Linked DNA regions of Oryzias latipes. The protein of the gene in region 1 purifies or fractionates together with the protein of each later gene. This does not show direct contact. Links are inferred from orthologs where the notes say so. Each region holds a gene or a part of one and is shown in the gene's direction. Other genes may lie near its edges.

Region 1 (4,277 bases):
AACTTTGCAACAGTAACAAAAAGCAGAACTTCAAGGCAGCCGGAGCAAAAAAGTCAATAAAACTTCTTAACTATTGATTAGGAACAAATGTGAAATAGCAGTGATTAGAAGCAGCATGAAAACTTCTTAACTAGTGTTAACTACTACACTGCAGTGCTCTCTTCAAAAAACCTGAAACAGACTAGAGCAGATTTAAGTTTGATATGCTCCATTTTCAATCATTGATAAGTGTATTGCACCATATTAAAATTTGCCGGGGGGACATGCCCCCGGACCCCCCTAAAGTTAGGGGTGCTTGCGGCGTCCGTCGCCTGGGTGCCGCCTGCGGGCGGCGGGTCGCCCTGTGCGCGGTGTCGGGCCGGTGTGGGCCCTACGGGCCAGTGCAAATTTCTGGGCTATGTCAACCCCTGGTGAGTTAAATTGAATATGTTCAATATTCTTTTATTACAGCAGACTTTCCATCATTGTTACTTGCTTAATAGCATATTAAATACAGGATTTTTCTGATTTGTTGTTGTTGTTTTGTTAGACACAAATCGTAAATCGAACCAAAACGGCACAAAATTCAGGTTTGAACGGAATCGCGGGGAAGATAAATACTTTCATCCCTAATCTTTGTGCGTTTGTTTGGTTTTTGTGCAGCTTTTTTCATCAGCTCTGGTCACGTCGCACGCAGACGGCGACACCATCGGAGGCTTTTCCATCGAGGACGTAAAAAAAGAGATCAAAAGGGGAAATAAATTGGTGAGTTTGCCGTTACCTGTTTCTTATCCACACCCGTGTTTGATGTCATTTTCTTTCAGTAAGTGATACCTGTTGATCGGATAGCATCTCTAGTGTTTTTCCTGTGAAGAGTTTGTATTGAAACGTCCATGAAATGCAGTGAAACATTCACTGAGGTCGAAACTGGTGTCTTGTTTTATGCTTTCAGTGTTGATTCATTTTGTTTTGCTTATCTGGATGCATCTGTAAGAAGTTAACCAAAAAAAAAAATCCCTAGATTTTAATTAGAAATAGACCAAAAAAAAGTCAAATGATGAACATAAATGTTATAGACCAAAAGATTAGTGAGCATTTCTTCATTTTTCACTTTTAGTACCTGGGAAAAAAACAAATTTGTGTGTTACTTTTCCCAATCTTTCATGTTTAAAGTTACTTTTTAAATTTCTTCTACCAGTGAAGCCTCAATTAAAAAAAAACTTTTTATTTACTTTTTCTAGATAAACATTAATCCAAATCTTTCATGTTATGCTTTATATCCTTACTATGTATTTAAGTTATAACTTCATTTAGTTACATTTAGACAAGAGTGAACTTAAAAGTTCAAGTTACAATAAAATACTTGTGTATTGTAGCATTAATATAATTACTGTTGGTGTGATCAGAGATATTTGCTTCACCTACAATGGTTATGTTTTATTTCTATCTTCTTGATTGATTGATTGGATTTTAGCAATAAAAATACAAAAACAAGGAAAAAAGCAATAAAAGAAAATACAGAAATATCAAATCTATTTAAGATCTTCACTCATAACTTGATTCAAAAACAAATAAAATAAAACGTTTCTATCTTCTCTGCATTATAATGACCCACATGCATTTATGCACACAACACATTAATTCAGTTTTTCTCTCTAGAGTAAGTAAAATGTAGAAATGGCATTTTTAGGGCTTTTTTTTTTCATAAAATGAACACTTTTTAAGGCTGCGCTCGATGATAATGACGTTTTTTTCTCTTTAAATCCATCATTAAATGAAATCACGAGTGGAAGCTTTTCTATAAAAGTGCTTCTGCTTTTATTTCCCCCGTGTCCTCTCCCTCCGTCAGATGTGTTCTTCGTGTCACCGACCGGGCGCGACCATCGGCTGCGACGTCAAAACGTGCAGAAGGACGTATCACTACTATTGCGCCGTGAAGGACAAAGCCCAGGTCAAGGAGAATCCCTCCCAGGGGATTTACCTGTAAGGAAAACATGTGATCTGCTGAAAAACCTGCAGGTTTTTCCTGAACCTGTTCATAAATGAAGCTTCTGGGTTCTTTCGTCTGTTTAGTGTTTACTGTCGCAAACATCGCGATGCTGCTCTGGACGACGTTGAAGGTGAGACGCCTTGTTTCTGTGCAGCTGCCTTCCACCTTTTACTAACTAAAATAACCGAGTTAACTAGTTTGATTTTTAAATATTGGACTAAATTTAGAATTTAAAGTCCCTCTTTGATCGTTTAATTATTGCGTTTTTCTGGGACATAGTTGCTGCAGAGCAGCAGGAGTTCATCAGAAATGTGCCTCTTGGGTTGTGGGGGCAGAGTAGTCCTTCCTCCACTTCCCATCATCCATCTATTTCTGCTAGCTTACAGCTGCTCACATTCCCAACCTAACAACAAAAATGGCGAGCAGTATTGGAGCCATCCAGCTTTACAGTTTTGAGGCAGATTCCAGCTGATCCAAATTCAAATGTTCTGCATCACAAATGTGCTTTTTTTTCCCAACATCATATTTTTTTTTCCGTCTGCTCCTGATTTCCAATTATTTGAACACAGAAATGCTCTGAAATGCACGTTTAAGCATCTTTATAAATGTCCCTCTCTATCAGAAAAATACGGTGGCTGAGAGGTGCAAGACACGTTTAAGATGCAACAACAAATCCCAGTACAAACACTGAAACACAACAGCAAATCACGGAGCACTTTACAGAGTCCTGAAACACGGTTGCAAATTACCAAATACCGAAAAACAGAAACAATCCCGCTACAAATCCAGAAACGCAACAAAGAAAGCGGCTTCTAACAGAAAGGGACGCAATATAAAACCAATCGTATATGATTTTTTTTTAAGTTACTTATTACTGTTTTTTTTTTTTATGTGGACATTATAAATATATGAAACAGTCCAAGAGCATTTTTTTAAGTGTATTAATACAGTAAAAAATGACCACAGTGGGTTTAGCGAGGTAAAGTTTTTGCATTGTGTCCGGTATGAAGGGTATTCTTCCCTTTCCTTTAGCAGCTGCTCGCTTTGCTTCATTTGTTTCTCCGTCTTCTGCTGTCGTGTTTTACCAGCCTGTTGTGTTTCGGCATTTGTTTATTGGTACTAGGTTTTGTTGTTGTTGTAACTTAAATGGAGACGTGTCTTGCACCACTCGGCCACCTTAGAAACAAGGACTTGTTAAAAACGTCAAAGATTTCCATCGAGTGGGTCTTTAAATATTGGGAAGATCCTGCAGCAACGGGTCCGACTCTCAAACTGTTGGTTTCCTCTTCAGACGAAGAAGAAGGAGACGTGGCCAACGACTCGGACTCCTCGCCTCCACAAAGCCGAGGCAGAGGGAGGTTGGAGAAGGCCCGGGCCAAGGTCGGATCTCGTGGCCAGTCGGAAGAAAGTCGCTCCGCCTCCTCGCAGGCTGCAGATGAGGACGGCTCCTCGCATGTAAGAGAACGCCGTTTGAGTTCCTTTCGCCGTGCCAGAGTCTCGTCTGTTGACGTCTGAATGGCGTTTCAGCGGGACAGGTCCCCTCTCCGAAGCAGCCCGGCGGACAGCGGCCAGCGCTGCGGGTTCTGCCACGCCGGCGAGGAGGAGAACGAAACCAGAGGCCTGCTGCACACCGACAACTCCAAGAAAGTGGCCGCGCACTACAAGTGCATGGTGGGACGTTTAGCCCGAACGTTTCTCCCAATGCCGCCGGCTGTTATTTTCCGGTAACCTGCCGTTTCTTCCAGCTCTTTTCTTCTGGGACGGTGCAGCTGACCACAACATCACGAGCCGAATTCGGTAACTTCGACGTGAAAACGGTCATCCAGGAAATCAAAAGGGGCAAAAGAATGGTGAGGAGGACGCCGCCGCGTCAGACGAGCGGGCGTTCGGCCTGCGTTGACCTTCCCGCTCTCTGTTTCCAGAAGTGCACGTTGTGCGGTCAGTTGGGCGCCACCATTGGCTGTGAAATCAAGGCGTGTGTGAAGACCTACCACTATCACTGCGGCCTACAGGACAAAGCCAAGTACATCGAGAACATGGCCCGCGGCATCTACAAGTGAGCACCTGTCCAGAGTAAAAACCCCATTTTTTACTTGAAGGAAGAGGTGTAGCGTTCCTTTGCTGAATCCCGCTTCGCTTTATCCCGTGCAAATTTGCATTTTTTTAAACATTTTTTAATAAGTAAATTGTGTTCTGCATCCTGATTGGCTGTTGACTTTGTCAATCAGTCATGTCTGCTGTGCAGAATGTGCTCAGTTTGCCGAAGTCGCATAAATCTTCCATCGGAGTCGGATCTTTGATTCAGTTT
Region 2 (4,887 bases), on another chromosome or scaffold:
GGTGGCTGAGAACTTAGTGGGTTTCCTGAAGTCACAGAGGTATCACTAGCTCTGGGGGTAATTCCGAGCTGACACGCTTGTTCCTCTGCCATCATCAAAGGGCCTGGGACTTGATTTGAAGCAGCATTGTTAGTCTGAATTGCACTTAGCTTGAAGTACTGCTTACTGTAGAAATTACGGAGCTTGTATCCATGGTGCAGAGGCTTTTCTGCAGACTGGGAGCTGCTAGACATGTCACAGTTAGAGCTGCTGTTGGGTAAAGAAACCGGCATTCTTCTAGTGTGTTCCGTATCACTGTATAAGTTAGGCCGTGGAGGTTCTGTGGGACAGTGCAGGTTAACATCGTGAGTCAGGCTGCTTCCCAGAAGGCAATCGTGCTCTGAGCCTAGCATTCCTGGGAGAGTGAAGGAATGCATTTCCACGGGTGGGGGGCAAGGTTTGAGGAAAGCATTACACAAATTCTGAACGTTTGGAACTTGTAAGTTCTGTGCTATGTCTAGAAGTGCCTGTACATTCTCTTGGTTAATGTCCAGGTGGGATGTATACATGTAGTCCAATATTTGGCCAATGCCACTGACATCTTGGATAACCAAGTTAAAGACGTCATTCTTCTGACTGGGAGAATTTTGGAACAAAGACCTGAAAAACAAATGTAAAAAATGGTCATATCTCTTAGGGTTCACAGCAACACCTCATGTGGATATTCTGTTGTCAAATAAATGCATAAAAGTACCTAAAGTAGGAACTAAAAGCAGCCAGAACGTTTTTGTGAGCTTTAAAACAGACTCCTTTAACCACCAGCATGCAGTCACAAAGCAGCCCTTGGATTCTTTGCTCCTGGAGCTGCTGTAGGAGGTAGGAGCTGTGGCTGGACAGGGTCTCCATTTATGATCACTCAGCTTCCCCCCTTTTCAAAGCGAAACACACAAAAATCACATTTAAAACAACAACAACAGCCTGAGTTTACACGACTCAAAAGTAAAAGTTGATTACGAGTCAAAAGTAAAAGTTGATTAAAGGGTTGAACTCTAGTAGTGAGCCACACACCGCAGTCCATGTATAAATATATATATATATTTTTTCAAAAATAACTGTCATGTAGCTCAAGAATCGCTACAAGACCGTCCATGCAAAAATTTGACCTGCTACTAAGCTAACAGCGTGGCTATTCGAGCCATTTACAATGACAACTAATAAATAAACAGCTGACCTGTCTTAATTATAAAGGTGTTTATTTATATATATTATTTTACTATTGTCGATATCCATTCAGAGGGGTCCCAAAATCATTGTGAAGTGTTTCGTCTTTTATTGGGATGACGGGTCACTCGCGCTTAATAACATTACGTAACTTCCTGGTACAACGCTTATTTTGTACCCCTCGTGGGAAAGAAATACATCTTATACTAAACCCCCAAACAGTGGGACTATATACATTTCTAAAGTGCTGTTGAAATCGTAAATATACCTCTTTGTAGTATAATTATTTTGTGTTATGAAATGTAAAAAAAGGTTTTCAGGAAGAAAAAAAAAGGTCTGCGGAACTGGTGTCTAGTTAAAATTTCTATACGGAGAATCAAGACTGTAGCTTCAAGGAATGTAATCACGTGTCTGTTCAAAAGTTTAGACGGGAGAAACTCAACCCGCACGTTTACGCTCAAATTAAAATTTTAAAGAGGTTAATTTAACGGGCTCTAATTTTTGGGTATTTTTAAAGACAATGAAGGTTTTGTTCTTTGTCATGCGTTTTTTATAACTTACTAGAAAAAACGTTAGCTTGCCGTAGGCAGGTCTCTAGTCAGTGCATTAATTGATGGTGTTTAAAGTGGTTTAACTTTCTGTCGTTTTGCTGGTTTAATCTACATATTGTCTTTATTAATTTAGAGAAAGGTTGCTTCTGTGGATAAAATTGATCAAAATGGTGTTCTTCACCTGCAATGCGTGTGGCGAGTCTCTGAAAAAAGCCCAGGTCGATAAACACGTGAACATCTGCCGTGGGTGTCAGGTGTTGTCCTGCATTGACTGCGGAAAAGATTTCTGGTAAGACCAATTGGGTTATTTCTAAACATTACAAAATATCGTCGGGAACAAGTTTGTTTTTCCTCCAACCGGTGCCATGGTACTAGGCTGCAGGTTACCGTAGTGCCCTGTAGGCTTACTTGATTTGTTTCTTTCTCTAAACTGATTTTGATTGCCTTGGGCTTCTTTTGCGTTGTCACGTGCCTGCTAGCCCTAATTTGACTATTTCCCACCACTTCTGGGTCTGAAGTGGGATACGGGTGCATCGATCAGCTGTTGTTGCTTGGCAACAACAAAATTCCACCAGAGAAGTGACCGGAGATCGAAGGAGAGGCTGAGGAGACTGGGGTCTCTTCAGAGTTTACAGGACTCTTAAGATTTTTTTTTATTGTGGCGAAGTCCTGGGGCGGTGGCGGATGCACTAACTGACATAGGAAGAGGATCAACAAACTGGTATGGAGATACGACTCCATTCTGGATGTCCCTTATAGAGTCTGTGACTGTGGAGGGTCACAGGACGATGTTACAGAAACTGAAATGCATCATGGACAATCCTCTTCATCATCATCCTCAGCATGAAACCATGGACTTCAACACCTTGTCACAGAATTTTCTTTCTGTTAGCTACTAGACTCTACAACACCTCATAGACACTGGATGTTGGAGCCAAATTCACAGTTTATATTTAATAGTTATTTTTGGAGCCAAATGCACTGTTTTGATTTAATAGTTAATTTAAATAATTATTGTTTGAACTTCCAATTAAAAACCCTACGTCACAGAGATGCTGTTAGTGAGACTCATTGTTGATTGAAGCCGGAGAAAGTTGGAAGCGATATCGTTTTTTGACTAAATTGTAGTGGCACTCTCTCTGCGTGTCTCACTCGCGTTTCAAATAACAGTTGCCGGACAGACGTCAAACGGTGGAACAAGAGAAAGACACAGAGAGAGTGCCACTACACTGGGGAATAATCACTGTTCTTCATTTTTAAGTGTATTTTTTAGTATTAGTTATTATCTATCTGCTGTTTTTTAATAGAGCTATGGTAACACGGAAATTTCCTTTTTGTGGGATCAATAAAGATTTATTCTCTTATACTCTATTCTAACGCATAATGAGCTCTGTGACTGACCAAGTAACGCATTCAATGTGACTCTTTTCTGCGTATTACCTAGGGACGACGACTATAAAAATCACACTAAGTGTATCAGTGAAGACCAGAAGTATGGGGGGAAAGGCTTCGAGGCCAAGGCAAACAAAGGCGATGTCAAACAACAGCAGTGGTTACAGGTAAACATCTTCCCAAGTTCGATTATATGTGAACATTTGTTTTTCTTTTGGATCCTGACTTGTGTCTTTTCCTGAAGAGAATCCATGAAGCCCTGAACAAATCAAGCATCAGTCCCAAGCTGAGAGATGTGCTCAGGCAAGTCAGTGCATACGACAATGTCCCCAGGAAGAAAGCCAAGTTTCAGGTTGGTGTTACCAAAACTTGTAAGAAGGGTTTAGGCTTTTACCAGGAAGATTATTAAAATGTGTATTTACTTATTACTGTTAATGTTTTTTCTTCTTTCAGAACTGGATGAAAAACAGTCTAAAAATATCCAACACAAGCCTACACGAGGAAGTGTGGAACATAATTGCTGCTGCCGTCGATGTAAGTAGCTGTTTTGTTTGTTAAAGTAAATATTACACTAAATTATTAGCTGGGGAGCCTAAGCTTTAATGGAAATCAATGGAAAATAATATTAATGTGATATTTAAGGGCTGGAAATGTATTAAGTGTTGTGTAATACCGTTCATTCTTTCACTGTACTGTTGTTTTGCTTATCTGTAATCTTTTGCACCCCAGGTTCCAGAAGATACACAGCAGCACATGGAGAAAGAAGCTGAAGTCCAAGCAAACACTAATGGAACTCAAACTCCGTTTGGCCACGAAGATGTGAAGAAAAACAAAAAGATGAACAAAAGAGAACGCAAAGAGGCCCGGCAGCAGAACAACGGAAAAGCTCCAAAACTATATGACGAACAAGTCACACAAGAGCAGAAAGAAAGCCAAACAGGGAAAAGGAAAAAGGATGGAAAAAGAAAACACAAAGAAGCAGAAGATGAAGAGCAAAACTGTGATGAAAATGAGATATCTGCCAAGAAAAGGAGTAAATAACATTTTTTTTTCTTATTACAACACTTTTTTGTTTGTTTGATAAAAAGGATGGTTTTTGTGTTTAAGGCCTGTGTTCCTGTTTTCTTTCAACCTTTTTTCCAGTTAAGGTTGCAGCAGAGGCTAATGATGCTGAGATGTCAAATGAGGCTGAAGATCAAGCTGTTCCTCTGGGTAAGTTAACTCTAGACTGACTTAACCCAGTGGGTTATGGTCCTTAAATGATTGTATTTTATTGGGAGTCCAGTAGAGGTCAGTCTTGTTCTTCATTATATGAAAATGTTAATTTGGTTGCTCATTTCTTTGGTTTTCCTTACAGGGAAATTCCACTGGAAGGAAACCATCATGGCGGTTCTCCGTAAAACACCTGACCAGGAACTGCCCATCAAAAGGCTCAAGAAGAAAGTGAGGCTTATAGATGATAGAGTTGTTTGTTTGCTGTTAGATTCCTGATCTAAAATATTTTCTTGCTAGTTGAATCTTGATTTTTGGTTAATCCCGGCTTTCTTTACATTTTAGGTTTTGGCAGCTTATTACTCTTTCACTGGCGAGAGGAATTTTAAAACAGAGGAACAACTGATTTCTACATTCAACAAAAAGATCAGCAAAAATCCGAAGTTTAGAGTTCTGAAAGACCAAGTGAAACTTGTCAATTAGATGCTCGTGTATTTTGTAAGATTTTAAAAATAAAATCATTGCAACTGTC

Evidence for each region.
Region 2: the proteins of phf6 (region 1) and lyar purify together in Homo sapiens (affinity purification with mass spectrometry; 3 studies listed by BioGRID and IntAct, with this or other methods). This does not show direct contact. The link is inferred for Oryzias latipes from reciprocal best matches to the Homo sapiens genes PHF6 and LYAR.

The regions. Positions count from the first base shown.
Region 1 is NC_019868.2:26,618,978-26,623,254, forward strand, and holds part of phf6 (PHD finger protein 6), read left to right. Parts: intron 1-642; coding exon 643-744; intron 745-1,828; coding exon 1,829-1,962; intron 1,963-2,052; coding exon 2,053-2,099; intron 2,100-3,260; coding exon 3,261-3,424; intron 3,425-3,496; coding exon 3,497-3,640; intron 3,641-3,714; coding exon 3,715-3,819; intron 3,820-3,891; coding exon 3,892-4,025; coding exon of another isoform or gene 4,026-4,029; exon of another isoform or gene 4,030-4,042; intron 4,043-4,277.
Region 2 is NC_019863.2:16,778,747-16,783,633, forward strand, and holds the start of lyar (cell growth-regulating nucleolar protein), read left to right. Parts: upstream 1-1,580; 5' UTR 1,581-1,918; coding exon 1,919-2,040; intron 2,041-3,195; coding exon 3,196-3,310; intron 3,311-3,387; coding exon 3,388-3,495; intron 3,496-3,596; coding exon 3,597-3,677; intron 3,678-3,872; coding exon 3,873-4,176; intron 4,177-4,286; coding exon 4,287-4,355; intron 4,356-4,500; coding exon 4,501-4,586; intron 4,587-4,700; coding exon 4,701-4,838; 3' UTR 4,839-4,887. Other genes in the region: zbtb49 (zinc finger and BTB domain-containing protein 49), read right to left, coding at 1-639, 734-885. UniProt on the Homo sapiens protein: Plays a role in the maintenance of the appropriate processing of 47S/45S pre-rRNA to 32S/30S pre-rRNAs and their subsequent processing to produce 18S and 28S rRNAs. Also acts at the level of transcription regulation.